2 linked regions of the Lepisosteus oculatus genome follow. The protein of the gene in region 1 binds, or shares a complex with, the protein of each later gene. Links are inferred from orthologs where the notes say so. Each region holds a gene or a part of one and is shown on either strand. Other genes may lie near its edges. The genes, in order: itpr1b and cnn1b.

Region 1 (16,930 bases):
GTAAGTGAATGCTTCAATAATCATAGCCTAGGTATTCTAATTAAAAGAAGATTATTGATATTTCTTGCCACGACTAAACTGTGACATTTTGTGCATCCTGTGAGGGTTTCTTAGATACTGAATACCTGCCCATAGGATTTCACTGCATGAATCTGTAATTGAAGGCCTAACAACTTCATTTCTGTAAAAGGGTAAAAAAATCCTAAATGCATTTGCACACCTATAGCACTTGAAACTGCTTAGTGCTGAAAACATGAGGCACAAAGAAAAATATATCTCCTTCTGATAAATGAGTGTGAAATGTGGATTTTTTTCAGAATCTAAAGGCTGCTGCACCTGTTGAAGGCTTTCAATTATGAATCCTTAATTAAAATTAATATCAAATCTATGCGGTTCCACTAAGTGTACTGACTGTAAAGTGTTTTTCCAGCTGAATTACCTTTTCACCCTCATATTGCTTTTGGTCTACCCAGTGAAGATTTGAAAAGATTGACAGTCTTTTATTTGCTCAGTTTCTTGACTTTCTGTCATGAAGCTCCATTGTTCTTTTCTTCATATCCTTTCTTAGGGCACTTAAATTAGTGGTTTGATTTTATTCATCATCTGACATTCATTTCCAGTTTAATACCTCAATGAATAAGAGCAAAAGCCAAGGCATTCTACATGAAAATTTTGAGAGTTTAAATAAACAGATCAATTAGAGATGGAACAAGAAGTTTTATAGGTCTTTTTACGTTTACATCAACTAAGAGCCAACATGGGTTGATGGAAAATTTGATGCACTGCCAGCTGAGTTGTGTAATGTAGATACTGCCAAGATTGGATATGTTGGGCGACTTTTTTTTAGAAAACACTTGCTGTCCATTTTAAGGCTTAGCCTTGAAAAAATGGATTAGAGTATAAATCTCTTTTTTTTGGAAGCAGTGCCAAAGTAATTGTTTATAAAAGAACTCTTATTAATACATGATCTAAAAAGTGTGATAAAGAAAACTTAACACACTGTATGGGTTGAACTGAAGCCCCACTGAACCTAAAGGCTTTTCTTAGGACAGCAAGGAGGTGGCACTTGTTAGCAATCACAAGAGTCAAGAAAGCCTTGAAGCTTACTGTTTTATGCATGTCTCAGTGTCAAGCACGCACTGCAGTATTCATGCCAAAAACAACTTTATCCAAATTCTGCCCCCTCTTCAATCTCCATAGTAACTGACTGTGTTGATGCTGCACCATCTGTAAGAGATTACATACTGATATGCATGCTAGCACATTACTTTAAGCCACACCATTACATAAAGAACAAAGTCTTCTACCTCTGTAAAACAAGCTCGTATTTTCTGAAAATATTCCAAATTTACAGAGAAGTTTTAAAACTAACAATGTCAAATGTACTGCGTAAAGCACAGTGAACTCCAATACAGATTTTACAGTATAACTTCACCTGGTTGCTGATTGCGATTTTGAGTGTCATAGTGAAACAAACCTCCAACTGCTCTGGAACACGTTAATGCCATAAAAGACATATTACAAAATTAAATGGAGTATACTTACGTGTATATAATAAATACCAAAAATTATGGGCATCCTCAACTAGAGAATTAGTTTTTCAACACACTAGAGTCACTTTGGAAAAAAATGAAGGTACGTTGGGTGTTGTAGTAATGATGACGATGACCACAATAGTTGCTTTTATAGTATGTGCAAAATACATACTTTTCAATATTAATTAAATCCTACCTTTATTTGAAATATATGGCAAACAAAATGCACTTTAATGGAAAATAACTCTCTGCATTGTGGGGAAAAAAAATACAAATCCAACTGGACTCTTATTCATAACGGACTACGGTGTATAGAAGCACATATTGAAAAAGTCAACAATAATTCTGCCCAATAATACAAAATGTGCAGCCTTTGGTCCTGATACCCATGTTAGAACACTTTGATTCCAAAATACACTGGGTTATTTTATTCAAAAACTGGGCTTATGTTGCAAAGACGTTGAAGCTTAACCATGAATGAACTTTCCTGTAGCATTTGAACACGTAATAGGTGTATTCCATGCTGAAAAGAGAAGGAAAAAAACACAACGTTTCTGCTGTGGAGCCTTCTTCGGGTGTAAGGTGCCTTTGCAGCCATGCATGCTAACACAGCTACCCACCTGAACTACTTTCCTGTAGTATATTGACCTGAAGAACACTAAACTTTACTGGGGAAGACTATAAAATAGAGAAAGGATGAAGTGGATGTGAAATCAGTGTTATTGATTTGAAGAGCATTAAACTCTTCTTTGTCCTAAGTGTGACCCCAGATAAAGCATTTGATATTTGATAACAGTCAAAACCAAGAGGTGTAAAACTGTACAGCAAACTGAAGAGTAGTCATTTGTATTTTTTTTATTTTATATAATTGATATTTCCTCTAAGAATATTCCTTCTGAAAATATTTGGACAACTTCTAACAAAAAGCTGTTAATATGTAATTCCTTAGCTTCAGCTTAAAAGTTACCTTATTCACTACAAATATGTTTCTTGTGATTTAGTCTTAAATAACTGTACAGAAAACCTCTTATTGAAGGAACAGTAAGAAGACTAAAGCATAACAAACTAGTAAAAAAGTAAATCACCCATGTGCAGAAAACGATCTTATTTGTTTCAGCACTAAATTTAATCAAAGCAACTGACCATTAAGATAACCTCTTGAACTCTTGTGGTACCATGGGAAACTCACTAAACCATAACGATATCATCACTACAACCTTCCCAAAGAAAAATATAATGTGCAAAGGGAATTTAACGAACAAACTTCAAAGCAACAGCTGCAGTGATTGAAGTCAATGGTTCTTCCACATTTGCATTTCAATACCTCACCATTAAAAATCTGCAGCACTCAGTCGTGGAACTAATGCCGGCTTTTTCTGGAATGTTGCAAAACGGGATCCATTCATGCTAATTTTACCTCAGTTTCCCTCACCTTCCTTACCTCTCTAACGATTTGCAACTCTGCAATCAACATATGAATGAAGCCTATTTACAGCACTAAGCAGTTCCTGGTGACAAGACGATAAATAACACGCCTGTGTGTGTCTAAGCCTTTATGAATTCTCAGTGTTGTGAAAGCATTTGAACATTGCAACTTATTGAAGGTCACGATGTTTATTAGAAAATCTGGATTTTTTAACAAATCTATCAATGAGGGCAGCGATTATAGTCTTTAAAGTACTGATCTAGAGATCATTATATTTAAAAATATAATAGTCTGCCAGAATAATGATAGCAATAGAAAACAATAAAACTACGGGTAATACAATTAAAAAGGAATACATTCAAGATGTTCTCAAATCAAATTCACTTTCGCAAAAATATACATTTGGGGTTATATATTCCTTGATTGAAACGTATTTAACTCAAAGTTGTCCAATATACAGTGTACTGTATACTATAATGTATACAATACACAGCATAAATATTTAAAGAAATATTCACTTTTCACTATTGGTTGTATGTATATCTTTATTTATACCTCACACCTGAAAAAGGCTCCATGGCCGAAATGTTGCGTTTTCTTTCTTTTTTTTTTCCAGCATGGAATAAACCTATTACTTGCTCCTGTACTGTATATCTTTAGTATGTTCCTATGCTAATAACCTCTCCTAACATTCTGTTACCTATGGACAACGTCTTTAACTGAAAACGGAATATAATGACATGCAAATAACACTTCCATTAGGAAAGGCTGGATTCATACAAAGCATTTCTCTTAAACTTATTTTGGATGATGGATAAATAAAGACAATAATAAAATATCTTTCAAACTTCAGACTGACGGGGACTGCCAAATATGTAAAGAGAGATTGCTTAAATAGGTTAATTAATGCCTCACTTACTTAAGGGGAAATACAAGTGAAAATGCAATTAAAATAAACTTGAACAAGGAGCCAATTTAACTTTGTCAAATCTTTATAAGGGAATTAACCTATTTTGTTACTTGGAGATCAACATAACAAGATGGCTTTGTAGAGACACATTTACAGAAACACCACTTTACAAGTAACCATTGCTTCTGTTACGTGTTTGATGTTTTAAGCATTGGTTATACAGTATCTACTTTACTGTCCTGGACACACTGAGTGTCAGTAATTCATGGTGTCACTTGTTGTGAAAGTTAGATGAATGTAATAAGTAAATAAAACATTAATAAATAAGTAGCGCTGGGATAAAGAAGCTTGCATGAAATGTTGGAAAACTATCAAAAAATTCCAGAGTTATTTCTGTCCCCTCTTTGTAGGTCACTGAATTCCCAAAGGCACTGAAACAGAATTTGTATATGTAAAAAGCATTTGACAGTGCATTTACTAATTTACTTATTTTATTTAACAAAAATATAACCAGAAGAGGTCTGGTACCAGATTGAAATGGTTAATAAAACCTCATAAGAGTGAATCTGGCTTTGGTATTGTGGAACACTTTGCTTTCTTGGAGACATCCCAAGAAATGATTTTGTGTTCCACTCCTCATTTAAATATCTGCAATCTTGAAAGGGTATAATGAACTATCTGTAGTGTATTTCATAAGCCTTTGATGTCTTAGTAACATGGACCTAAATTCCTCGGATCTGATCTTGAACTTCAACAAAGAGGTAACATTTTCATTAAGAAATTATACTCCTGTTCAGAAAATTAGATACTGCATGCTGAGATCCAAAGAACCACCTAAAATATTTACTCCCTGTGAACCGAGGGTAAAATGTGGAATGATGACCTTATGTATCTTCATGCATGAATTCCAGTTTAACCACAGTTGTATTTTTAATAAGAAAATATATTCTTCTTAAAATTACAGTAATCATGCAAATGATCATCACACACGTTTGAAAATTCAAGAAGTAGAACACTTACTGCTTGTGAGATTTGCGTCTTTACTTGTTCGCTCAATAAACCTTCATACACAAATGAGTCCCCGAACTTTTCTGCCTGAGAAAAAAAGACATTTAAGAAATATATCTTGCACACTTGCAAATAAATTTCACAGCTTATACAAATCAATAGTTTCAGCTGTCCTCACACAGGAATCGTTTTGAGGCTCGGAGATATCAACTAATTGACTCCCAGTTGTATCTCAAAAACTGAAAACGCACCTAGATTTTCATGCTCAGTTAACTTTTAGGGGTAGCTTGGTGGTACAGTAGATGCTATTGCTGCATCAAAGTGCTGGGGCCCCGGATTCAAATCCAGACTTGGGATGCGAGTTTATATCTGTTCCTAGTGTTTCATGTGGGTTTCCTTCAGGTGCTCCGGTTTCCTCCCACAGCCTAAAAACATACTGGCCAGTAAGGCTTCTGGGGAAATTGGCCCTGGTGTGAGTGTGTGTCTGCCCCGCAATGGACTAGAGACCCGTTCTTCCTTGTGCCCATTGCTTGCTGGGATAGACTCTGGCACCCCCATGACTCTAAAATAGAATACTTGAACTTGAACTTTATTGCCATATGTAACTGCTACTGGTACAATGGAATTCTTACTTACAGAACGTCTCTCGATTGTAAAACAAGTGTAAAAAACAAGACAAAGTGCAAACAGTGCATCAAGACAATGTGCAAGTAAACATGTAGACAGTTTGAATGTAAACAATACAGATGTGTAAACAATGACTGGAGATGTGCAATAGATAAGAAATTATAAAGAGGTAGATGGTGATGGTGTAGGTGTGGTCCAAGGGGGATGGCTAATTGTGTTCGCCAGTCTCACTGCTTGTGGATAGAAGCTATTGAAGAATCTAGTGGTAAGTGTCCGTATGCTCTTATATCTCTTGCCTGAGGGAAGTGGGGTGAAGAGCTCATGCCCGGGGTGGTGACTGTCCTCTGTGATGGCCAGAATTCTACCACGGCAGCGGTTCTCATAGAGCTGTGTTCACAGTCCAGGTTAGATCTTTAGAGATGTGAATTCCCAAAAACCTAAAGCTGGTGACTGTTCCCACTTCCGTTCCATCAATACTGAGTGGGCTGTGAGTGTATGGCCTGTGTCTCCGAAAGTCCACTATTAGCTCACTATTACTTGGCTAGAACATGAATGGATAGGCGGTTCCCTTATTTTCTGGGGCTTAAAAACAAAAGATGGATGAACTTTTAGCAACACTGTATAATGGGTATGAAAACATGTGGAGGCTACTGTATACAGACTCTGTTTCCATGGCAGGCTATATTTCAATTGGGAAAAAAAACATTTAATTCCTTCACGGCATCCATGGCAGGGGAGAGACCTTACGTCTGTCACATAGCCGGTGGCGTTGACAAAGTTTTCAAACTCCAAGTTGCTGACTTCATAGACATCCATGTAGAACTGCTGAATGTGCACTGTGCGTGCTGGGCCTTCCCCGTCCTGAGGTATTGCGGGCTCATCTGTACCCATCGTGAACTTCCCCGCTGGGATCAGCACCATCTAGAGCAAAGAGAGCGAGTACTGAAATAAGACAGCCCCATGATTACAACATGTAAATAATAATGCGCTGCACTCGACTAGCCCTTGTCATGGACACTGCATTGATTTCTGTTCGGATATTGAGACTAAGATCTAAGTATCAGGAAGACTGACAGCTTCAAACCCTACATACCGGAGAGTGATATTCCCTGGGGGAAAAAAAAAGAAATGGTTTGCTTAAAAGAATCACCTGTCTTGTCAATTATGACATGGTGGTGTGGTAGTAAACGCTACTGCTTCACATATCACTAGCGTGCCGAGATCCATTCCAGCTTTGAGGTCTGTCTAGATGGAGTTTTCCCCCTCATTCATGTGAGTTTCCCCTGAATGCTCCAGTTTCCCCCCAGCACCCAACTTCTCTAAATTGTGTCTTTAGTTTCGGGGACTTCATAGGAGTGACGTTGTTGCCAGTGCAACCAGCACTGTCTATAAAAATTTAAATAGAACCAAATCAGCACAATGTGCTAAATCCTCTCCTCCTATATGTTACATTTCTGATGTTTGGATTGCATCATCTATTATCCATCATACAGTAGTCATAACTTCCAGTATGATGCAAGTAGCTCATCATGCGTGTGTTCTGGATGACTGGATAGACCCAAACGTTTAAACTCAAACTGTCATTTTGTGAACAATCCCAGCATTTCACAAGTACATTGAGTGAGTTAATCTGTTGTTTTAATTCGGTTTTAGCACTACAACACCTAAAAGACTTCACAACATTGACCACAGCTCCATAATCAGAATACCGGCAGACATTTACTTGAGATGTCACGGTCTCATGAGCTGAAAACAGTTTTTTAACAGTGAACATTAGATAACAATAAAAAAAACATTCACAGGTATAGTGCTGGCATTGATACAACTATTCAAGACCCCAGACACCTTGTTTTTAAAAACGTTGTATAACAGCAGATTCGCTGTATTTGGTTTCTGTTGTATGACGTTTTGTATGTATGTGACGTTGCATACTTTCACTTTTAACCACTATACACCATAGGTGAGATGAAAATCTTAGGCAGTAGTGCAATAGGATTTAAACCTGAGTTTGCAAGCCTCTTTATAGCAAAACAAAACAAAGTTCAAATGAAGTAAACAGAACATCACACTTAGATGCATGTCTGATAAATTAAACCAATGTTAAACGTTACACAATTCCAAACGCAACTTTCTGTCCCAAACTTTATCTAACATAGCGTGATGTTTAGGTAATCGATCACACCTTGTTATGAATGGCTGCAGCTTTTGCATTAACCTCATTTTGTGCCTTCTCTTCGTTTGCTTCTTTGGCGTATTTGGCACTTGCTTGTTCAGACAACGAAGAGAGACTTTCTGTGTCCGCAGTCTCAACTTCTCTGTTCAAAGATTGACATCCACAGCTTCGACCTGCCGAATTAGAAGAAGAAAGCTGTTCCGCTCTCGTTGTCGCTGATCTCTCTTCGTCTGCTCCATTGGCGTGAGATGCAAAGAAAATATTTATTGAGAAAAAAACAAAGGCGGAGAAGGCTAACATCGTTACAACTTCCTCAGTCCTGCAGTCTCAGACTTAATCATTTCTTTGTGCGTGCAGCCATAGTTGTTTAGCGTCACATGACTAGTCAGCTGACTTTTTGTGTCCGTTCAGCATTGTTTTAATCAAAAAAGCAAAGGCATTGAAAAATCAGTTCTATATTTTGGGTTCCTCCCTTACGTGTGAACACAGTATAAAGCGATGTAACACCATTTAAAAAATAAAACACTAAGATGGCAATCTTAGTGCCTGAGGTCCCAGCAAAGTGCTGTTGCTGAAGTTGTCTTCTCACTGAATTCTTCTTCCGACTGAACTTGACAGAAAAACTGAAGCTGCTTACGCGACTTGTAAAACATACTATTAAACTTGGAAAAATTAGGTTTCATATGAAACTAAAGGATTGCCTTGAAGCAGCTTGCATGCTAGTAGTTAAGATTACCCAGTTTAAAATGTAAGATACATTTTTCGATTGGCTGGTTTCGAATACTTCGGAATAATATCGAGGAAGACGCATATATTCAAAATACCAAATAATTTTGTTAATATATGATAGTTTGGTGTAATGTCGGATAATTTTAGTCCGTTTTGCAATTCTGAAATGAACGAAAAGAGCACGATAAAATAAGTTCACTTCTTTCATATAAAACTACATAGACTCTTCAAGTACCTTTACTTTAACTCCTCCTCCACATAATTGGCAGTATGGGATTTGTAGTTATAAATAGTAATTCTTTACTGTCAACTTTCACTTATCAGTTGATCTATGAAACAACATTTCCCATAGTTCACTGCGGATATATAATAATCGGCAAAGAAGTGCAGCTTTGTAGTGCTCATGTGGAGGTAGTGCAGAGCGGAGTGAAGAGGGGAGGTAAAGCGCTTAAAGATCCGCCTCTTTTTTTCTAACGGGAGTTTAAATAACATGGAATTAAAGGAAAACGGGATCTGGAAAATTATCATCCACTAATTAAGGTTGAAGCGTTGCAGCTCCCAAGACCAGCTCTTCCTTGAGCGAAGGTAAAGTTGTATGCATCTCTGCAGTTTTAAAAGGCAAGCATCTTAACCTGTGTTGTTAGTATTTACTTCTCGTTTAAATGTGTTAAATTTACGACGCACCTTTCAGTCGGTGATCTCCAAGCAACCTCAGATCGCTTTCAATGGAGTTGTTACCGTCAACTTCTTAAGGGGTTCGAATGAGTTCTTGATCGTAAAGCACTAATGAATTCAACTCAAGTTCATCCTGTATGGAAGTGATTACGTTTTAGTTTTTTTACGTTGTATCAAAAATAGGCATAGAATTACATTATGGTTAAGTGATAGTAAAAATCAGAGGAATTGTTAAGATTGTATCCTTTTACGCTATGCGTAACGCTCAGGAGAACTGTTATGGCTTTGCTTTAATAACGCAAGTATTTAGTATTCGTATCGTGTTTAAAAAAAACGTTTAGTCCTCTATTTAATAGATAGCATTCGTAACTCTAAAAACTAGCGTTCACCGTCACTATTGGGAATTCTTTGCGTGCAGTAGCTACAGTACCATTTGATTTTGCAGCACAGCACACCCCATTCCCAAGATTCAACGAATAGTGAAAAGTGCATACCACTGGGCACATATACTACTACATTTTCTACTGCAAAGACTCGCATGTCTGTGCTTTTAAGAGCTTCAAAATGAAGGACATGGAATACAAGGCCTCAGGAAATATGATGTGCGTTTTTAAAATTGTAATACCCTGTTATACTTTGTGTCCGTACTGAAGCCGGCGCGGTACCGGTCTTTTTTGTTCGAGTTGTTCTTAACTTTTAGTCGCGTTCCCAGGATAGCTTAATATGTTCAGTGACAGAATATACGACAGAAAAGAGATTGGGTTATTTGTAATCATTAGCCATTGTGAGTAAAAATCATGTTAAAACTTTTCTGGTGGTTTCATAATATTAAAAATATGACGGAAGGAAGCAGCGTCTATCCGAAGAAGTAACATACCTATACTCCGAACTTGTTGGCTGACCTGACATCATGTGTTTTGCAGAATAAATCCGCTTTTCTGCTTTAAAAGGCATTTTAAGTTTTGTGGACATTATAGGACGTTTATGGGTTCTAGTTAGTAGCCATACAAAAATTCGGAAAAGTGGCTTTGTAATATGAATGTGTTGTAAGCTGCTTTAAAACTGATGTATAATATTTTGAATGAAGTATAGTATTGGAAGATATGATTCATTGTCATTCCCAGCCTTAACATTCTCAAAATATCATTTTAAATACAGTGTTTTGATGATAATAGCTTTAAGTAAGGAGGAGGATAATGACATTACTAAATAAATATGAATGCCCAAATTCATTGTTTTTGTGTCATTGGGAAATTAGTGAACTGTGGTATTTTGATTTCTTTTTTCAAATTTGTAATGCGCCTAGTTTTGTAAATGGTTGGCTCTTGTTTGAAAATTGAACGACGCAATCAGATTAATTTGATAGACAAAACATTCACTGTGTCGCTGATGTACTATAGTATATTGAGCAGTCTTGGTCATAGCCTTCAACACAGGTAAATTATATATGTGTTCTTTTGTGTGTTCTTCAATGACCTTTTGGCTAAAAAAGAAATGGAGAAAACAAAAAGTGTCAGAAACAAAGCAAACAATCAATGAATAAACGACATCAAAACATTCCCAGCATTAATGTCTGCTGAAACCAGTTTGATATTTTTAAACGGACAATTCAATTTCTTTGAGTAGCTCCCCAGTAACTAGTGATGCATAAGTGGACTGACCTCTGTATACTGCGACACAGTTCTTTTTTAGAGCACCGAATGCTCTATTCAGTGTCTTCTAATTAAGTCACTTGTTGCATTTATGTCCAACACTGTATAGCGATTGTGGCTGCCTTGGTAGAAGTAATGAAAAAACATCTGAGTCTTGAGTGGGTGAGTGGGCTGTCATCTTAGAATCAGGCACAGATCATTTGTTCATTTCTGTGCATTTGGGTACAGATGGGAAAGTATGAAGGCAAAGTGTGTGTTGTTGAATTACTGTGCTTATTTACACTGAGCAATGAAAATAAACTGTTCTAGTCGATCGGTAACGTTTAAATGTGGACACCATTTATGTGAGAATATTTATCAAAGTTTGTGTTCCTGAATGTAAGTTGCTTCTTTTTGTGTTTACAATTAATGGTCGACTTCAATAAGGCCACACACTTTTACAAGAAGTACAATGCTTTCAATTCCTTATCTTGTAGGTTTTAACTTAGGTTTTAAGCAGTTGACAGGTTAGAGGTCCCATATCTGCTCTTCTCTGAATTTTTAAAAACATACTTTCTGTATTTTAATGGTAATAAAACTCTTCCCATCACCTCATGCCACTGCTGAAGTAATCATACTTCTGCCGAAGTATCCATTCTGTAAAATCATGCAGTAGTGTGGCTTCACCAATTTACCTTGGGTAAAGAATAATGTAAAGAATAATGGTAGAGGGAGACATTGATCTTCTAAAAATAAAGCCCTGAATGAATTAGAAGAGACTGATGCAATCAGAATCACTAGCAATCTAGTGCAGGAAGCAGTTTGAATGCTGATGTCTGGTTTTTGTGCAAATGGGTATCAATTAGCTTCCCTCTGCTCTTCCTTGGATTTCAGCAGTTCTCAGTGAGAAAAATTGTGTGTGTGTGGTTTGGTACACTGAAACAGGGTCAAACAGGTTGCTGTTTATGGTTTTACTCTTCTCAGAAATGAGTTCCTGAAATACATTCAGTGCCCTCCAGATGAATTGAGGCGACAGTCAAAACTTCTTATGTACAATCAATAAATCTGCAATCATGACATTGACAGGATCTATTTGTCTAATATGATATTTTATGTTTGGGTGATTTCAAGAATACATATGATGATGGAACAGAAGCATGTTTTGTATTCATCCCAGTGATTTCAAGAGACTCTTCTCTGTCTCATTTAGCAGTCTTCTCTGGCTCAAAACCTTTTGTTTTTGACTGCAGCTGAAACCCTAGGAAGAGCAGAAACGGCTAAGTAATACCATGGCTTTACTGTCCCAACACTTTCAGAGGGTGCTGTATCCAGAATTGCTAGGGAGGCAGACTTGGGGCAGTTTTATACGGTATATCTACAAGTGGTCTTTGGAAGTGAATGGTTTCTGGGCAGTCTGGCCTCTGAGTTCCTGCTGGAGTCTCTGACATTTGTTTTGTTGTATGTGTGTCTTCCCACACACAGTGACTCAAGCCCTGCGATGTACTGTACATCTGTGCTAGGCCTTTGGTCTTTCTGAGCAATATCCATTTCAGATTGCATACAGTCTGCTCTCCAATATGGATTTGTTAATATGAAGGTACAGTGGCTTGTAGTGTATTTGGTTTATTTTATGACACAGGGTCCAGTTCATGTTTTATTTACTTGAAGATTATTTTGAGCTAGTAAACTATAGTCAGACATTGGTGATGTCACTGGGTAATTTAATACATGTAACAACATAAGAAAGGAGAGGAAGCCATCCGACCCATCTTGCCTGTTTGCCAGGCGTTGGCTAATAGATTTCAGTAACACATTGAGCCCCTTTTTTGGAAGAAACCAGAGTGTTGTCTTCATCAATGTGGCTTGTTCCATACTCCCAAAGCCCTTTGTGCCTCTTTTTTCTTGTTTTAAAATACACTTTCTTATGCACCTTATCGTAGTAACAGTGGGGTCCTGACATTTTGTGAGGTTTCAGCGCATAGAACTGTTACGAATAGCCAAATTAGTATATAACCAAGTCCACCCCTATACTGGTGCATAATCTGCTCCAGTGTATAGTATATATGGTTAAAAGATAGGAGTAACCCTCCATATATGACAAAGTTAGTTAAAATAACATTGATCAATTGAAACAAATGGTCATTGCAAAACCTAATTGTAATCCGCTAAAATAAACAACATGAATCTGCGTCTGTCATTCCGCACACTGCCGACACAGAACCAGAAGCGTTCTCTACAATACAAAAACAAGAGCCCATTGAGTTGCGGGTGTTGGGTGTCGGGTACTTGGGTAGGGAGAGGCTGAATCACCAGTTACATTGATCTCACAATTAGTCTAATTTGAAAATTGTGCATGACATCCTTCGGCTTGGTTTCATCCCACTCCACAGCCACACCAAGTCACGAATAAGCAAATTTGTGAATGTTAAATTCAGAGCTGTGGAGATCCTCCTGGCCTATGTTACTGAATGATTGACTAGAAAACATTAGGAAGTGTATTGTGAATTTATTGCCTTTTTGCAGTAAAGATATTTAAAGAATATGTGATAGCTGGTCATTACTAAGGAATGAAGGTTTTGATATCCTTAGGACCTTCATTTGTTTTCTTTTGAATTCAGTTTTGGCAGAGAAATAGTCTGAATGTTTTCTCAAGGGAAATAACGTATTCAACCCAGTATACTCTCAGGACAATTAAGGTTTTAAGATTTTTTTAGATTTCTTAAGTTATTAATCACAACTTCTCCAAACAACTCAAACCCTTAATGTGGTTATATTTAGACAGCATATCATTCCCTGTCCAAGTGATGGGTTTTTTTTCTGCAAGAATATTCGAGAAAGTCCCTACTATCTATACTTTTGTCTTTTTATCATAACATTGTAAACAATGGGGAAAAGTGTGAAAATATCCATGCACATACACAAAGATGAACACAGGAATTATAACAGGTAACAAAATTTGGTTAAAAATAAAGTTCCCCACACTGCTGACCCAGTACTAGAAGCATTTGTTACCATATCTATCGTCTTTTATAACATTGTAAGTTCTGCTTAGCTTCATATTCTTTAGGAGGGTACCTGGAACTGCATTAAGTTTGGGAAGGAACCTTCGATATAATAATCACAATCGGTTTGTGCAATAGCTTTCTGCATATTCAGCTTCCATTTAAAAGCAGTCTTAAATTTTATTTCTTTATTTGTGCTGTATATGAACGTAAGATTAAATAGTTCTATGTTCTACATGTTTTTAAACTCTTTTATTTATGGAATGTAGAATTTCAAAGGCTTTCTCTAGAAAAGTAGGTAGTTCTTCCTGAGTATTGCCAGTGTGGCTATCTTACATTTAACTTACTGTTTAGGCACATTGAATCACATTGATCATGATTTATCAAACATTTTTTTGGCAAAATTTGATGAATGTATTCAAAGAATAAATAAACTTCTTAACACCATTCCATTTGCTCTTGCATATCATTTGGGTTTCGGTTCATCATGCAGAAATTAAACTTTCATTTAACTTTGTGCCTCTTTGAAAACTGTACTGCACTTATACAGGGGAAGAGACTCTAATACTGCCTGTTTTACTATCTCTAGGCTTTTCTGCATGTTTTCTTCATGGCCTGTCTCTAACATGTCCTGTTATTCTCTGTAGTAATACAAAAAGTTTTTGTAATTCATACCATGTATACCGGACATTTGGGATTCATCTGATCCAATTACTAAAAAGAGATATGTTATACCTTGCAGTGACTGAAAAACTGAAGAAATGAAAATTGGACATCTGTTGAAAGTTTCTGTATTTTATTACTTTATTATGTAATTAAAGGGACTTTCAAGTAATTTCAGATGCAGTCTTTGTTACTTCGGTGTTATTTGTGGATGAAAGTATTTCATTTAAGTATTTTGATGTAGAGTCTTCTCATTTTACATATGTTTGTTCTACCAAATAAGTCAATAATATTGACAAAATAATACAGTATAATGCTATTTTCCCATGTTGCACCTTTTTTAGTATTTGCAAATAAGGAAACTCACTTTCATGAATAATATTGATGAGAAATAAACTGTGAAAAAGTCTTATTTTTTTCTCTTGGTTCATGAAATGCTTCTAAAACATCATGCTTTTGTTTTTGTTTTTACAGGAGAGAAGGAGGAAATGAGAAATGTCTGACAAAATGTCTAGTTTCCTACACATTGGAGATATTGTCTCTCTGTATGCTGAGGGATCAGTAAATGGATTTATCAGTACTTTAGGGTAAGTTGTTCATGTTTTAAAAGCACTTAATAAAGGTCAACAGCCATTAGGTCCCATTCTATGTACATAAGTACCCATTTAATAGTGCCCTAGTATTCCATCATTTATGTTAGAATCATTTTGAGTAAGTTTTTCAGCAGTGATAAAGAACTGAAATTTGTGTTAAAATTGATTTTGGCCAGAGGAATTACTGTGAGGATCTTGTGATGATGATCTGTGAAGAGACCTTGTAAAACCTTAGAGCTCATTAGGCTTCAAATAGCTATATGAATTTGTCTATAAATATTTATCCTATTTCAAAGCTATCCAACAGATTGTGTTTTAAACATTGTAATATATTGGTCTGTGGTTTGGATTAACATGATGTTGGTGGCAGCGCCTCATGTTAGACGAATTTCTGAAGGACATAAAAAAATAAGCTTTGCTTCACTGAAAAACTTCCATTTTGTCAATACAAATGTCTTCAGTCCTGCCTTTCCACTGCATTTACTGTATTTAGGCACCTCTGTAACCCATTAGCCACAAACAAATGATGCCCAGTACACTTTAGTCAGATTGTTTCCTCCAACATGCACATTGTTTTGAAAAGATCTGAAGCTGTGTAGGGAGGTTATATCCTTTACAGGACATTTGCTTTACATGTGTTGTCATAAACTGAAAAAGCAAGTCATTGCCTTTTCCAGCATATTTGTGTTAATATTTTAAACTAGGTGCAGATTTCAAAGTGTTATTTTGCTGCCTCTCTTCCTCACCATCCATGCTTCATTGATTCATTATATTACCAATGTGAGAAAAAGCAATTGCATTGATAGGACAATTAGTCTTTGTTTTGTATGTATTATTGCAGTCTAGCACTTTTGCAGTTGCATTTTATCTGATTTTAATTGATTTGTGTTTCTGAAAAATTGAAAAACAGACATTTTAAATAAGTTGCAAGATCTAGCATTCTGTTTCTGGATTGGCATTGTGATTTTTGGATAATTCTCAGGCCCTGGTATAGGGTTATTGTTACTATTCATCTGACCATCACACATAGTTGCCATGTTTTAATTTCAGTGCGATTCAACAGTTGAGTTTGTACTAAGTCCTTAAAAGTGGGCAAAACATGTTAGATATCTTTTTCTCTGCTTCATTCACTTTCCACAGCCAAAACCACATTTTGTTTTCTCACTACTAAATATTTATTGCCCCTCAACATATGTATTGTTATTATTTATTACTGTCTACATTGTGCAGTGTTGTCTGTTGTACTGTGTATGTCCAGAGAGATCAGCGCGATTAAGAATTCCAATGTACTTGTACATATGGCAATAAACGACTCTACTTGGAACTAACCTCTAAAGACTGGCAAGTGAAAGTGAATAAACTTCTGGATTGTTCAGCTGCTGTTTGTAAGCCCTCAGTCAGACCCTGGATAGACCTGGCATACTCAATCATTATTTCCCCAGGAATGCGTAGAAAAATCACATGGATAAATTGATTAACTAAACAGCAAAATAGTTTGTTTAGTCAACATATATCACAAAGAAAGAACAGTGCTCTTTTCACAGTTATAACATGCTTGCCACTCTAATGATAATCAAGAGCTTCAACTTTAAATATTTTTGAAACTTTGTGAAGGTTAGATTTACCATTAACAGCAGTTATATGTCCTAATTATTAATGGTTTTATGTATTATAGTATATAAGTATACTATACACAAATGTATAGTGTATGTAATAGATATGTGTATACACTGGCTGACAAATTTAACTATAGTGCTAAATCAATTTGTGGTAGTTAAATCTTTATTTTTAAAACATTTCTGGGGGGATGTGGGGAAAAAAAAGACTTTCTGAAGCTTCTCTCCTCTATAAGAGGGTGGCTTTTCAGCTGTTAATGAAACAAAATTCACACTGTTCAAGCTCATCTTTTAAAAGAAATGTAGAAATTATTGTAGGTTTTAGACATGTAGCTTTGTAAA
Region 2 (16,615 bases), on another chromosome or scaffold:
CCCCTCCCCTTCCTATTCCAGCCATCTTTAAAAAGAGCAGATGTATTTTTTTTTTACTTGATAAAAAAACCCCAAACACAATACTGTAACGACTGCCATTGGTTAAACGGCTCAGAGCACCGCCCCGTCCTTCATACATTTGGCTGTTAGTGGGCTCAAGACTTAATTGCCATTCACTCATTTCTTGTGCTGTTGAACCACGAAGGAAACAAGTATTTGACCTCAAGTGGTTTGTTACCTTACAACAGAGCTGCAGGACTGTTTCTTACAACACAGTCCGGGACGTCCTAACTCGTGCTGGTCTGCGCTCCAGTCCAGCTCTCAGCTGCACAATTAAACCCTTAATTGACTTAATAATAGGTTTCATGATCGTTTCCAGCTCTTACAACATGTTGGTGTTGTATTTTTTTTTTCTGCATTTCCAAAGCAAATAAAAATGTAAAACTTGCAAATCCAATCAATTAACTCATTGCTTCAATTAAGCGATTAGGTTCGGTTGGAATGGAAATCAGCAAAGCAGGTGTTTGTCTGGGACCAGAACTAGGAGTCTCCAATGTTGTGTGCACGCTCTGGGAAGGAAATAAAAAGGTCTGATGGCGACAACGTATGGCCAAGCAAACGATACAAGAGCTACATTTGAACATTAGGCTGAAGAATACCCAGTTCACGTTAGATCTGCAGATAGGAAGTGATGGGGTGAGGGCACATTTCCAGCTGCCTCATCTCTGCAGAGGCAGGTAAAGGGGTCTGATCTATGATCGACGCCCGCAATCCACAGTCCTTCTGCAACGCTGAGTGTTCAATCTCAATCAAGGGGGAATTCCAGGCTCCAGCATGTTCCAAACTGTTTACACCAGGTCACAGCTTAAAAGCTTCAGCCGAGTACGCCGATTCCTTATAAGGCGCCCGATGGGGCCGAGCACCTGCTGGCCTGGGACCCATCAGAGAGACAGCGGGACGCAGCCAGCTGGCTTCCTAGGGGAGAGAGACTCGGCACTGATGCGGGGGTGTGCACAGAGCCCCTGGCTGTACAGAACCTGGGTTCTGTGGTCGCTGATGTTGCTTTACCAGCAAGGACAAAGATGACGAAAAAGACTACAGACTCTTCGTTTTGATGTCTCCCTTACTCCTTCCTACCAAAGGTAATGGGTGGGAGGGATCATTAAAGGACAAATGCTGCTGGAAAAGGCAGAGGTCAGAGGCTGAGAACTGGAATTCCTAGTATGAATAGAATAGAAAACTATGAATGATAACTCGGATGCTGCTAAGGCACAAGGATCTGGGTCTAGCATGGCTGGATCCTGCAGATATTAATATAGGGGGGCTCAGACGGTCAAGTCCTGGATAGTCGGGAACCCTCGGATATCTCATAGCCGATTTACTTCATCACCACATGCATCACCATAGCTGTGATGTGTCTATCCTGGCTTGGAGGGTTTTTAATTAAATCAAAAACTGATTATGCCCTGTAAATAATAAATGTATATAGCGCCATTAAAAAATGGCTTCGCAAAGTGCTTTACAGAAAAAAAAGATACATAATGAGAGGAGACAGTAGAATTACAATTACAATTAGTGTTTGGAATACAGTGGGAAAGTAATGGGGCAGACAGAACCAGTTACATAAAAGCCCTTCTAAAGATGGTTTTGGGTTTTGATAAACTTCCAGAGCTTTAGGGCATAGCAGGAGAAGGCACTGGCACCCACAGAGTGTAGACAGACTTGGAGGACATATAGGAGTCCAGAATTAGAAGAATGAAGGTTGCAAAGCTAGGAATAGGATGATACTAACAAACAGGTACTAGACAAGAGCCTTATAAGTAGACATGAGGATTTTGAAGTTAATCTGAAATCTGACGGGAAGCCAGTGCAAACACTCTAGAATAAGACTAACATGATCACTTGCACCAGACCTGGTCAGGATTCTGGCTGCTGAATTCCAGACATACATTACTATAGCTTGTTCACTGTGGATTTAAAAACCCCAGCGAGTAGGGAGCTACAGTAATCATTTCCAGAGAAGATGAAAGCGTTGATCAGCCTTTCAGCAACAGTTAGCAACAATAAAGGATGTTAGTCTGGCGATATCCCACCTCAGAATAGCTATAAATGACCTTTAGAAAAATCCTATACATATCAAACAAGAAAACAATGAAAAAGAAATGCACTAGGACCTCTAAGAATTAAATTTGAGATATCCGTTTTATAGATTTTTAACCCATCATTTACATGTGATAAATGTTTTAAATAAATACAAATTCAGGGTGCAAAGCTGGCCATGGGCCCTTGAGGAGGAAATGCTTGGAGGTCTTGACCCGATGGTATGGATAATGGTATACATCTTTTACGTATTGAATTAGTCCTGGACAGCATGCCGCAGTGCAGCCTCACAGCTTTCGGGTCCTGGCTGTGATTCCAGGGGCCTTCTGTTTGAGGTCTGCATAATCTACCCTCACTTTCCAAGGGTTTTCAACAGAGGGTTCTTAATTGTCACCTTCATTGTGGTCTTCTGATGGACTGATGCCCCCCTGATATCAGTGTACAAGAGGTCATGCTCTCAGTTCTGCCTTGTCCCCTGTGCTTCAGGGATCAGTGTATCTGCTTTTATCCAGCATCACCTGTAGACACCAGTCAGTATAGAACAGCTCACAAAAATTGATTTTAAATCTTCTCTGAAGGATGCAGCTCAAGAAAGCTTGAGAACTTGCCAAGGGTCAATGGACAGAACCCAAGTCTGGGCTCTTTCAGCTCTCAGTGACCCCTGCCTCCTCTCAGGTGCCTGGAGGAATGCAGTGCTTTCAGTGATGGACTCTCTTCCAATGAGCAGTGGTCCTCCGTCACTGGGCGGGGCTGCCTGTGACATGCTCATTGGCGAGTGGTTCAAAGGTGGGCGGTTACAAGAGTCTTGGCTCTTCCAGGTGTGCATAAAGAATTTTTAAAAGATGCATCCCGTGATCAGAAATGGTTATCTAGAAAGCATCTGCCCAAGAGGCACCTTCCAGTTAAAAGCAACAGCACATCACATTTGCAAGGGCCCTGTGCAACTTCGGTAGAATAACTCAACTTTCATATAGCAAGGGCTATTTTAATAGCTCTAGCTAAGCAGACCAGATTCTTAAAGTAAAGAGTTACTTAACAGATGGCTACATACCACAACACACCAACCTGTTGACTCTGTTGACAACCTGTTGACAGAGTCAACCTGTTGACTCTGTTGGTCAGAGTCAACAGGTGATAATGTAAGAGATAAAGGGCATCAAAAAGTCAGCTTCTGTGACAGAGTGCACAGAATCTGTAGTTATGCAGACAGTATAAGATGGCCAGTGTGTTTGAGGACTGTAGCCTACTTTTTCAATGGATTCTTACTTGTTAATGTTTGTTATAAACAACCTTATGCAATTAAGATGCTGCTATGTTGTAATACCCCCTATCCCATCCATGTTTTGAATTTGTTTGAGAAGCTCCTTGCAATTAAATTGATAATTTCTGCAGGAAGACACAAGCATCACCCATATCTCTGAGGTAGTGGTGCATGTATAGAGGGGACCCCAACATCCTCAATCTCCTGGAGGATCTGTGTTAGGGAACACCCTGAAATGCATTAACTTTCGTCTTTATTCCAACGTTCCTGATTCTTAATTAACTTGTCTGAAATTTGCAAAAACGAACCCAACTTCATTGTTCCAAAAAAACTGAACATTTCTAAATGCTACTCCAATAATACCGTGGGTAAAGATGATAAAATTAGTTTGAAAGAGAAATTGTTTATTTTTCATTCACCTGTAATGAAAGTGCAATATGCCCCCGCCCCCCAAGGCGGCAAAAAAAAAAAATCAAGAAAAGGTCAGGCCACCCGATGAACATCCCATCCCAGACATTGCCGACTGTTTCCAGTATCAATCCGAGCATGTTCTTGCCATTCATTTTCTCCACCACTGCACGCCTGGTCCTGGACCAGTGGCACTGGTAGATACTGCCTGGAGACTGGACCCTACACTCCAGAGGTACAGTCACTCGACCCTAGACCACAGGCCTCAAGACTCGTGTTCCAACAGCGCCTGTGCTCTCTCATCCCTCACCTACTCTTACACTTTACTGCACAGACTGTTTCAAATCTCAACCTGGCGATGCAACATGTTAATTGTGCTTCTTCACCATGGGCACAAGTATGTACTTGACAATGTGGATACCATGTAGTACTGGGAACACCCTGCTTCATGTTGTTTTTATTTTACTTTTTGTACCACTATACCCTTGTACTTACACATAATATAATTTTTCTGCACTGCATGTTCACCAGAGTAAAAGCATGTACTAGGTAATTAAATGATTAAATAGGATTGTGCTGGCCAATATTGCATTTCTGATTTAAAATTGGACTATTGAGTTGAGACAAGTCCAATAATGTCGTGTTTTACCATCAGTATAAATGGGCCTTGATAAAAGCACACAAAAAATCTCTCTTGGCTGTTCTTTGTCCTAGGGAACCCATTCCCTCCTCCAAAACTTATTTTCGGTTACACAACCTCACAACTAATTGGTAGAAGAACATGACCTTTATGTAGAAAGCACATCAAAGGTAATAGATTTATAATATGTACAGAATATAGAAAGGTCAAGTTCCTACCGCTGGATCAAACATGCAGGTCAGGGGTGCCCAACCACTAACCCAGAGGCCCAGAGCAGATGCTGGATTCTTATCTTAATGACCCGAATCAGCTCGTTAGCATCTTAATTGGGCCAATTGAACAGCTTCTCCCAGCTCTTCAGGCACTGCCGATTTAACCAGACCTAGAAGACCAGCTGACACTGGACACCATTTCCCCAGAGGGCCTTCATACTAACTGTGGAATTGGGAGACCTGCTAAAAATCAGCTGAGATTTTCCAGACACCTTTATAAAGAAGATGGGGAAATTCAGAACCATCTGACCGTCCAGCACGTGTCACACTTGTATTTCTAGCTCTAGGAGTATTTCCAGCCAATTTAATCATATCATTTATTCCCAACAGCTGCTGGGCCCGAGACAGGGCTGCGTGGACAATGTCGGATTATACCGACTCTTCCAGCTTCTGAGGAAATTAAATTCCTCCTGTTGATGTCAACAGACCCACAGCAATTAAAGTGGGGGCACTTCTCGATTTAAAGGAAGTAATTTACCCTGTATCCTTTTGTTACCATCTTCGCTGGGACATTCTCAGGTCTGTGCACCGATACTTGACCGTACAGAAGCAGTTAGCGTTAGTCCTGTGCATGAGTCTCAGTGAGAGATCGGTCTGGATTCTACTTTGGTCTCTTCTACCAACCCAGTGGATACCTCCCACCTGGGGCTTACTTTACACAGAAAAGGAAAGAGCTGTGAGGCGTTAAGCTGTGAAAACTTCAAGATGAAGAGAACGTCCAACGCCTTCCTCATCGGTTAATTAAGACCCGAGACCCAGTGTACTGCGGAGAAAGCAAAGCTTGTCCAAGTATCAAAGAGCGGGTTTCTATCAGACGTCTCCAAAAAAAAAATAATCGGCTCCCCTCGTTATCTCAAACAGAGGACGAAGCTATTTTTCTATCCCACTTGGAAATGTAATCTCAGCTGTCGGTCTTGACTCATGAAATAACTGTTAAATACTTTATACAGTACGTCCCCAGCACCGAATTATCGCACTGAGAGCGTGTGGCGAAAGAGCGATCACCGACTGGACATCAAAGAACCGTCACTCGACATCAGCATCACCTGAGTCGCTTACTAATCGAGCTAGAAACAAAAAAACATCGCTTGAAAACAACAGGGTTTTTTTTTTTAAACAAGCAGTTCGAATCCCTGTTTCCCTGTAGTCTTTGTAGGTGCATTAAGTTAATGATGGGGAGCTCTACAATCGCCAGTATGCGCGCTTCTTTAAACGGTGGTATACACCAGCACATGTTAACAGGTGTCTTTAGATCACGTTGGGGTTATTTTAACCCGTCAAAATTCAAGGTTTTTTGGTGGGGTCTGTCCCCCTCCCAGCTAAGTTGTGCATGAGCAATAAAAATAGATTTAGAACCGATGTTACCGATTTATTTATTTATGCGCTCTGTGCCGTGTGCATGACAAGCTACTGGTAATCTAAATTTTGATAGAATCGCAGTGGACTGGAGTTGTCTCCCTAATTCTATTAAACGTTTCTAGAGAACATGCTGTTTGTGATGTGAAATATCCACTCAGAGCAACATGTATATAAATCCTACCTTGTTTTTCACTTCGGCCGAAAGTCCATACGCAGGTCCTCTGACGAAATGTCCTGACATGTTTCGTTCACAGTCGATTTAAAAACAAAAAGGAGAAATAGAACAGATTTTGAACAGCAAAATTACAAAACCGTCCGCTCTGCCGCAGTGAAGCTTCACGGGGGTGCGTGGAAGACTTCCTCGTCTCGGTCGCTGTCGTTTTCCCCACTTTAGTTCCCTTTGGAAAAGTTTTGGACCACTTTCCAAAACCTTTCTTTCTGTTTTAAACTCTTCCCATCTGTGTGTCTGCGGGCCTCGCTGCGATTGGCCCAGGACCTGTCCAATCGCAGCGGCCTACTGCTTCTCAGTGATGTCAGCGGGATGGCATTAGGACGGAATCGTGTCACGTTTTCCACCTATGGTGGACTTTGAAGATGCTATCGTTCTGTAGTACATTCATTGTAATACCCCTCTACGTTTTATCAAAACTATTTTTGGAACGATCGTCAACACAAATAAGGCAATCGGTGGCAAATCAAAAAACAATACAATCATTTGTGACCTTTTAGATACGATCATCAGACCGCATTCACTAAACATTCAGCATCAGGCTAAGTTAATCTTCCTCTCGAATGAGAAATAAGCAGTTGACATTCACCTTTTAAAGAAGAGGACCTTTTAATTCATTAGCCCCCAACTGGGAAGTAACAGATTGCGATAAATGGAAAACAGGTTGGGGAAGAGTTTCCCCCTTCTCCCCAGAATCATTATTTTCAGAATGTGTGGTCAAATCAAGAGAATAAGGTGCCTTTTCAATATGCCCAAGGCACTAGTGCACAAATAGGTCCTCAAATTCTTTTCAATATTGTTATTCCTTATTATAGAGCGCTAACAAGGGCTCTCTATCATGAAAGAATGCAAAACCACTTTATCTGTAAGAGGGGACCACTGTATTCATCACTGAAGTGCAGCTTCCTCCTGGGTGATGTGTCCTACTGTCCAGAACAGTGTTGTGGGATCTTTAAAGCCCAAGGGCCTCAACTGCACGGCACGTCCTATAACACGTCTATATATTGTCCTGCTGCCATACTGGATCATTGTATGGGATTTCTGATCCAGGGGGAAGACTGCCACCTGCTGGCCCACCAACACTTACAGTGGACCCGAGTTTCCATTACAGGGCTCTGGCCCTTGTAGTTGCTGAGCTTCCAAGGTCTGACAGCCTCCTGGTTAGAAGGCGTTGACGCTACCGTCACGAGATTCTCACTACAGTAATACCTCATTCAAGGACAAACCACACAGGTTTTTAGGTGCGTCAGCACTGGGGACATTTGAAACAGATCACAGAGCATTTCTTACATGCTAGGGCTCAGATTAACAAGGGTACCAGGAGTAAAAGATAACCATTGGGTTAATTAAACCAACACCACTGTTTCATTGCAATGGCTCATCCAATTAAAATCAATCCATTGACCTTGCCAGGCCATTTCCCCAGTAAACTATTCCTTTCCTTTTCTTTCAGCATTCCCTTCTGCTATGGAATGAAGAGCATTCATAAAGATTTTAAAGTTAATTTCACCTCCAATAGGCAATGATCTGAATTATCAATGTACGTTTTGTTCAAATATTTTAACTCCTGTACTTAAAACTCAACTCTCCAATAATAGGGCACTAGGAGGACTTGTGCAGCCAGAGAGCAAGAGATCACATCATGCCCTGCTCACCGGTCTAGTTGAACAAGTTTCAGATCTGAAGTCTGACCTTGAGAAGGACTGTTTGAACTTGTATAGGTGGGTCCCAGCAGTCAGATACTGGAGTCCTGCACTGGGACCCGACAGCCCTGCAGTCTGGCATGATAAGTCTCTTTTCACATTACAGAATCTGACCTGCTCACACAACTACAAATGTATGAATCTTTGGCTCAACATGAAAACTAAAATGTGCTCAAGAGACCAAAATTAAATGCCTATACATTGCTACTACTGTATTACTAAACATAATGCAGTACTTTAGTATAGTTCAATCATATCCAACAGTGACCCCTGGAACTCAGTGCTATCTCTCCTTTCATAACCACTAAGTATTTTTCCATCAGTCCGATTTTTTTGATAAATCTAGACTTTATGACATTGCACCAATCAGAGCATCACTACAAAGATATCCACAGATGTCTTAAAACCCACTAGAAAAGAAACACTGGCATGATGAGACTGTTATGAAGGAGCTGTATAACTATTGCCAAGTAGAAACTGAAACTGAGGATGGCTTTACACAAAGAGTTGCAGCTGGTTGGAACCAATAACAGTCCTGTTGTCAAAGCCGGCTTGCTTTTTGACAGGATGCTGGGAACAATTAGCTAATTGCATCCAAGAATGAGAAACAGGGGGAGGGAGTGGAGATTCTTCTTAAAAGGAACCTTGAAGTAAAACAAAGCGATTTCTACTTGTCAGGCACAGCACCTCCAAAACACCAGGCTGGTCCACCTTCTAGATGGGGGGTTCAGTGCTGTGGCTCCAGCACAGAACTAGCACTGGTGTGTAAACCGCTCACTGGGGACAAAGCACAGCTTCCAGACCAGGCTTAGCTGCCAGATCCAGCAATTCCACATGATGTCACAGGGTTGGGAACAATGAACTCGTTTTCCTATTTTACACACGTGTGTCGTTCTGGAAGCCCGGGAAATGGAATGTTAAGTGATGGGCCCTGCGAGAAGCTCACAGAGGCATGAATCACTGGCAGTTTTTTTACGTGGGAATCATCTGGATACAATGTACTCTGCAGACAAGCCATGTTTTCTGGAATCAGGAACAAACAAAAAGCACTTTTATTTTTAAATGGACTGTTAATTGGAAGATTGAATGAATTTCAAGTTTTAGAACAGCCATACTCATTAATGAGAACACAGAGGTATAATTAAGGGCAACTGACCATAAGAAATAGTTTGCGAGCACAGAGAAGGTGGGTAGATGAAGAGGGGCGAGAAAGAAGTACAGTGCCTTCCATTTTTACAAAGATGCACAATCAGGATCAGAAGAACCAGGAACCTGACAATAGGATCCATTTCAGGGGGCAGCCTTCATGGGTCACAATTCACCATCATCACTGATGTATGAAGACCTAGAGCTACTGTTAGATTTTGACATATCCAGTATTAGTTTAAGAAAGCCATCAGGGCATATCCAGTCTCAGGATGCTACAAGGCATCAGTTATAAAGGCTTGCTTGCCAAATGTCCCCTTAATGTCTTTGCTTAACCCATTACCTGGAATTCCCCAGGAATTCCCCAGGAATTCAATGGCTCCATGTCCCTATGGAGCTGCGGATTTGGTGGTGGTCCTGCGACAGCTGCTGGAATGGGGATCCAGGGGTCCACATACAACTCTGCTCAGTCACCAGGAGGAAAGTTTAAAAAAAAAGCCCAACATCACCAGGAAAGATCCCCGCAGCTCCTGAACCTACAGTGGAATGCCGCACTGGAAGAGTGAAATGAATGGAACCATAGTGTAATATGTGTACAGTATTAAGATGTATTAAGAGCTCCATGTTTTTAGAACTCACAAGAAGGAAAGAGGGGCACAGTGGTGACATCACAGCACTGGGATCAATTCTGGACCTGCGGTGCCATCTGTGTGGAGTTTGTATGTTCTGTGTTCACACAGGTTTCCTCCAGGTGCTTCAGTTTCCGCCCACACTCCAAAACCATACTAGTAGGTTAATTGGCTTCTGGGAAAAGTGGCCCTGGTGTGAGTGTGTTTTTGTCGGTGTGCACCCTGCATGGGACTAGTGACTTGTCCAGGGTCCTGCCTTTCGCCTGTTGCTTGCTGGGATAGGCTCTAGCTCCCCCACACAGTGTAGTGGATAAATCGCCACAAGGAGATTGAAGGATTCCCTCAGTGTGAGCACGAGTTAGGGGCAGATCTGTGGCTACACGACTAAGGACTGTCTGAATTTCAGTGGCAGACACCAGCTCAGTGCACAAAGCCAGCCCATCCCAAGCAAACACGACTGCTAATTGCAATGCAATTGAGGGCTTCTGAAGTCAATTGCTGAGAGCTGTGTTTACTGTACTTGGCTTCTGAGTTTACAGAGATGGGAAGTGGGTGGGTTTTTTTTAAGAGGCTTCTCTGTTTTAAATTAAAACTAACAATGGTGGGGTTTTTTTTATTAGCTTCTGCGGGAACAGGCTGGGTTTATTGGTTACACAGATCACTACCCTGCCAATATTGTCTGGCTGTGTAAAAGAGCAATTCTAATCCCAGTCCTGAAAGCGTCAGGTCAGAATTTCCACTTGCCTGCGTTTCCCTGTTGAGCTTGGATGCAGCTCCTCGCGTGGGGTTTTTTTTTTTCTTTTTTAACCTTTTCAAAATCTGGAACTGAACCTCATAGGCAGGTCCTTCTTTTCAAGACTAAAGAGGTTTTGCCGCTTTATTCTGTGTGTATGTGTGGGGGCATTCAGAGCCCCCCACGTGTGTAAGATCTCCATTTGGACTGGACTGAGTCAGTCCAGCTGATCTAAAATCAAAGGTGTGCGAACTCCAACACAATGTGCCAAACTGCTGGAAGTGCTTTAGTCATCACCCGTTTTCCAGACCGAAAAAATGTCATGCAAGTAGTGCGTCAATTAAGCAATTAAGTGCTCAGCTGGCATCAGGGGACCCCGCCGCCCTCAGATAAAGAGAGGAGGGCATCCTGGTTCTCAAGCGGTGACACCACATGGTCGGTAAAGACTTTGCGGAATTCTCGGAAGTTCGAGGGCACAAATAAAAGGTTTTGGGTTTTCTAATTTGTGTCATTTTAAGTTTACCAGTTGTCCTCCTTTCCCAAAATAGCACATGAGCAAAAAAAAAAAGTTACCAAGTCGGGTTTTATAAATCAGAGGAGAACTATAGCTACATCACACTTGGCCCTGCTGAAAGTAACTGTCTATTTATAGGAAGAGCCGGACGAAGCTGCTATATGAAGTGTGTCATCTCATAGCGGGTGAAGGTGCAACTCGGAATGTGATATTTGCGTGTAAATGGACCCTGTCGTGCGCTCTTCGTGCTGTAGCTTTAATAAAAACACGGTTTAAGCTCTCAGTGAGTGGCGTTACTGGGTCGGCTTTACTTTCGCATTCTTTTGGGGCAGAAAAAGCGGCACAGACGCGGTCGTAGCTTTGCCTTATAAGTCCGCCTGGGATAACTTCAGTGCGCACTGACAACAAAGTGATTCCCTACTTTATATAATAAAACCCGGCCAAAGGGGAGCGATTTCATCTCCGGGGTGGATATTGTGCCGTTTTACTCAAGAGAGAGGCAGGGGGAGGGAGGGAGCGCGAGAAAGAGCAAGCGGAGGTCTTGTAAACATTTTGGAAAATGCCAAACAAGAGGAATGCGGAGGCTTTATTTGGGCATGTGGGGTACTTGCAGCCAAATAACGCTGCCTGCAAAAGCGCTTGGATCGCAATGTCGTCTCGGCTGCCAGAAAGAAATATTCCAGACAGAGGGAAGATTCGCGCACCTTCTATAAGCAGAAAGGTGCGACATCTCGGTGCTTTAACGCTCTCGGGCACTTCTACTACTGACCGACTTTTCTTTCATGCAATTTTAACTGTTCATTCACAGACTTCCAAATTAGGTCTATACTACACGTAGTATAAATACACTAGAACATACAATAGATACTGAATGACGTGTTGTTACACTTTATGTACCGTTCAGAAACCGCTTTGATGTGTCATTTACAGGCATCAGCTAATTCAAACTAGATATACAGCAATATTATTGTTAATCTGCAAGAACTGTACAGGTCTGAGAAGATACTGAGAAAATTCGTATTTTGTACTGCGACAATTCAGTTAAAATTTCTTCCCTGCCCGCAAACCAGCCACGAGAAGGATTTCAATATGACGAAGACCTGTTATACACTATACAGTAGATACTCTGTGTTCAGGAGGTACGTTTCGGTATTTTGGAAACAGTAGAAAAACAGTATTTTTTATCAGACTACGAGCCAAACGAAGAGAAAGTTGAAGCACATGACCAGCTGCAGTTGGATAGGCAAAGGCTGTGCTCAATATGCCTTGCACCACTACCGGTTTTGTAGAGCGCTGAACAGGTCGAAAGGTTTCGTACGGTCAGCGCACAAGTCACGCGGACCGCCGAATCCGCAGCACTGCTAATTAATGACAGAACTAATTAAGCAGTGATGCGAAGACCTGCTTTGACGAGTCAGCGATAATTTATCCAAGAATGACTACAACAATTCCCCAGGGCCGCTGTCAGATCGGAGTACCCCAAATCAGAGTTTTAAAACAGTTTCAGGCTGACGAACTGTTTAAGCGCCCGAGTCATTGTTTCATTCAACAGGATAAAAGTGGTTATTGTTATCAGGGCGGTAGGCGGGCAGCTCGATTTTTAACCGCCGTGTTTACACCCACATGAGTCCTAGAAATTCTGCTCAGAGCAGTGTTTAAAGTTATTAAATAACTATCACACCGGCCGTAATTAACACGCAGAGTGGACGAGTGGACGCAGAGTGGTATGGGCTTGAAGATGCATATCATGTCTTTCTCTTGACACCCACACCCTTTTGTGCAAAGACGTGCCACACCATCTGTACCGAGAAGGGTCGTAGTTCCTCTCCCACCTTCATACTTCCCGTAATGCCTCACCGTTGACCCGGAAAAAGCCCACTGGACTTGTCTGCAAGGATGTAGAAAACCAGTTTCATGCACCCTTATACTGAATTTAGGTACATAAAAGTTAAGAAGTACTTAAGGATATAATACCAAGGTCAATTAATATTAATAGAACTTTATACAGTGCTTTTAAATAGCACTATCAATATTCAGTTCCTTTGACTTTTGAGCTGGTCATTCCTTTAAGCCACTGGTTCCAAGTCCTGGTGACCGCCATCCATGCTGCTTTGTGCTCCAGTTGAGCCCTCAGTTACACAATCAACCCCTTCATTGACTATTAAGGTTAATGTGAATGGTTTTAAAGCTCCACCATATTTGTTCCCAGCTTTCACCCACCGTATTTTCAAAATGAAATAAAATTCAAAGGAACAAAAGGCAAATTTTAATTAAAGCAACTTCTTCGCTCAAGCAAGGCTTCAGGTTTCTAACGAAGGTGGGATGGAATGAACACCAACAGGTGTGGGGGTCACCAGGAACAGGACTGGGCACAACTGCTTTAAGCACAAGAATGTACTCCTGCTCTCCAGTGCAGCTTTCTTCTGCAATGCAGTTACCAGTGACTCCAAATGAGGCCTTACTAGGGCACTGTAACATTTTAACAGAACCTCCCTTGATTGATCAGCAGCCATTTCACCCTACAACTCACAACTGGCAGCCCACTGGAGCTCAGTAGGTGTGAGCCTGGTCAGTACCTGGATGGGAGACCTCCTGGGAAAAACTAAGGTTGCTGCTGGAAGTGTTGTTAATGGGGCCAGCAGGGGGCGCTCACCCTGCAGTCTATGTGGTCCTAATGCCCCAGTATAGTGACGGGGACACTATACTGTAAACCGGCGCCGTCCTTCGGATGAGATGTAAAACCGAGGTCCTGACTCGGTGTGGTCATTAAAACCCCAGGGCTTTTCTCAAAATAGTAGGGGTGTAACCCCGGCATCCTGACCAAATTTCCAATTGGCCCTTATCAATCATGGCCTCCTAATAATCCCCGTCTATGAATCTCTCCTCTATGAGTGCTCTGCTCCCCACTGATAGCTGGTGTGTGGTGAGCATTCTGGCGCACTATGGCTGCCATCGCATCATCCTGGTGGGGCTGCACATTGGTGGTGAAGGAGATCCCCATTACCTGTAAAGCAGGTCCAGAAAAGCGCTATATAAGTGTAAGCAATTGTTATTATTATTGATTTAAGTGAGCAGCTCCTCTCTCACACACCTGCTGGTTTTGTTCCATCTAAGCTCTCCATTAAACAACGAAACCCCTAATAGGACTTAATAATCGGAATAATTTAAAGTGTTTGACTGCTTTCAGCTTTGAAACACGTTGGAGGTTGCCTCTCATTTCATATGTAAAATAAGACCCCAAACTTCTTAGTACACAAACAAATCCTTGCACATATTCCAGTCAAGCAACATGTTAGTTCAATTAAGGCTGGAATGAAAAAACACGTGTGTGGGTCTCAAGGATGAGGATTGGGAAGTCCTGATTTAAAATAAAACACTTCTGACCACAGGCTAATCTTTGCTTTTGCCTTCCCTATTTCTTTCTCACATTTGCTAGAAGAGAAATGTAACAAAAAAAACACTTTTGTATATAGCTCAGTGCCTAATATTGGTCATAGTTTACTCTATCGACCCTATTCTTCTTGTCTTCATCTACATTAAATATCTGCCCTTTTTGTTGTCCAATCCTGAATATTTCAGATAAACTTCGACAAAATCACATTTAAGCAACATTTGCAAATCTGGCAAGTTTATTAGAAATGTCATCTTCTCTATTCTAAAAACACAGCTTAGATGCATTACACATACAGTATATATATACACACTTCCAACAGAGCAGATGGGGTCCAGGATGCACAGCAATTCACCAGCAATGCTTTATTCAATAACATAGGTGAACAAACCTTATTTCTATTTGGGATTTTCTTCTTCAAAAGGAATGCTGAAACATTATCCCATCTTTATTCTTTCTGCCTTAGAAAGCCCAAAATGGTACAATTTGCAAGCAAAATATGATCATCTATACTGAAAATTTCCCTCATCCCTGGACAAAAAAAGAAAAACTGCCTTTTGTTACCATTGTGTGCTACACAGCTAAGGCTGGTATCGGGTGTCCTCTTTGCAACTTGCTCTCAGTATAACCCAGTAAATGTTTCCCTACCAGCCAAGGTTAAAGCACTCAGATGTGGTGTAAACAGCTCCTTAAATCACATTGTGTAAAACAATGGTTTTGTAGGGGCATCATAATGGCACAGTGCTGGGGCCCTGGGTTCAATTCCAGACCATGGTTGCTAGTTGTGGGGAGTTTGCATGTTCCCCCCCCAGGATCATATGGGTTTCCTCCCACAGTCCAAAGACATACTGCTAGGTCAACTATCTTCTGAGGAAATTGGCCTGGGAGTGTGTGCGCCCAGCGATGGACTGGCATCCCACCTGCCTTGTGCCTTGCTCAAACTCCCCTGTGACCCTGAATTGGAAGAAGTGGTTAGAAAATAGATGCACAGATATACTTGCAGTAGGTCTTCACCATTGAGTTCCTTCAACTGGACAACACAGACAGTGAAGTGTGCCAACTAAGGGAGAAATAAATACATAAATCCGTTGGAACAAGTGAGCTCACACCCGAAGAAGGCTCCACGGCCAAAAAGTTGTTTTCTTTCTTCTCTTTTCAGCATGGAATAAACCTACAGTATTACTTGTTCCTTTGCAGCCTAAGCATGCTGATGCAGCTACCCACCTGAACTACATAAATACATTGGTCTGATGATGTCCAATTTCTCTGTTGAAAGATTAATTTTACCATCATTTGGTTTCATCCTGTACAACAGGGAGAAAAAAATAATATTGGAGGTGGGTCTTGATTGTCCACTGTGAAAACCAGCTTCAACAGCCCAAGTCCTAGGACTCAAAATCAGACTGCAACCAACCAGTGAAACACTGACAAGAACCAGGCAGTGCAGAATCATCCTCACACACACTGGCAAGATATTAGCCTAATTCTACAATAAACAAATACCATGCTCGTAAGATCACACAGGAGTGCAGGAGTGACCGAATCACTTAAGATTCAACATTCAACTGCTCAGAGAAAGTTGCGAGGGGAGGGAGGCAGCATTATGAAGTGTCATAACTCCCCGATTGCCATTTTTAGAAGTTCCTCTGTGTGGTCTCCCCCCTTTTTGCGATCTGATCTGAGACAGTGACTAAAGCGCTGAAGGATTCGCCTTTCTAAACAATTCTCGCCTGCCAGCAGCTCGCTCTGCCTTGGCGCTGTAGTGGTCCCCCCAGTGTTACCGCGGCCACAGAATTCCGAATAATCCAACCCCGCAGGTCTGAGGAAGAGAAGTGTAAGATGCACAGATCTGAAATCAAGCATCCTAGACCAGGCCAAGCTGGCTAGGTCATTAATGCTCTACTCGAGCATGTCTGAGTGGTAGCAACTACCTATGGCACAAACTATATGGAAAGTTAAGTGGTAGGCATTGTACAAGCACTGGGAACAGGAGCAAGTAGGAGTTTCTTTTCCAGGGAATACAAAGAAGCTGATATTTTCTCCCAATTTTGAAGGAACTGGCCATTTGGCTATCGGCTTGTCACGAAAGTGATACTTTCCCCACCACTCCAATATTCCAGGCTGAGATCGCCCGGGTTGAGCTCCCGTCATTTCAGCTGCAGAGCTCTGAATGATTAAAGAGAAGAGACATGAAAGTCACAGGCTAGACTGGCCATGCATTCTCGAGATG

What was found.
Region 2: itpr1b (region 1) and cnn1b share a complex: the UniProt entries of both Homo sapiens proteins name them as parts of the cGMP kinase signaling complex. The link is inferred for Lepisosteus oculatus from reciprocal best matches to the Homo sapiens genes ITPR1 and CNN1.

What each region holds. Positions count from the first base shown.
Region 1 is NC_090699.1:54,880,474-54,897,403, reverse strand, and holds the start of itpr1b (inositol 1,4,5-trisphosphate-gated calcium channel ITPR1), read left to right. Parts: upstream 1-8,802; 5' UTR 8,803-9,026; intron 9,027-14,853; 5' UTR 14,854-14,874; coding exon 14,875-14,966; intron 14,967-16,930. Other genes in the region: sumf1 (formylglycine-generating enzyme), read right to left, coding at 4,892-4,966, 6,254-6,427, 7,689-7,979. UniProt on the Homo sapiens protein: Inositol 1,4,5-trisphosphate-gated calcium channel that, upon inositol 1,4,5-trisphosphate binding, mediates calcium release from the endoplasmic reticulum (ER).
Region 2 is NC_090706.1:17,296,722-17,313,336, forward strand, and holds the start of cnn1b (calponin-1), read right to left. Parts: upstream 6,490-16,615; 5' UTR 6,282-6,489; coding exon 6,222-6,281; intron 1-6,221. UniProt on the Homo sapiens protein: Thin filament-associated protein that is implicated in the regulation and modulation of smooth muscle contraction. It is capable of binding to actin, calmodulin and tropomyosin. The interaction of calponin with actin inhibits the actomyosin Mg-ATPase activity.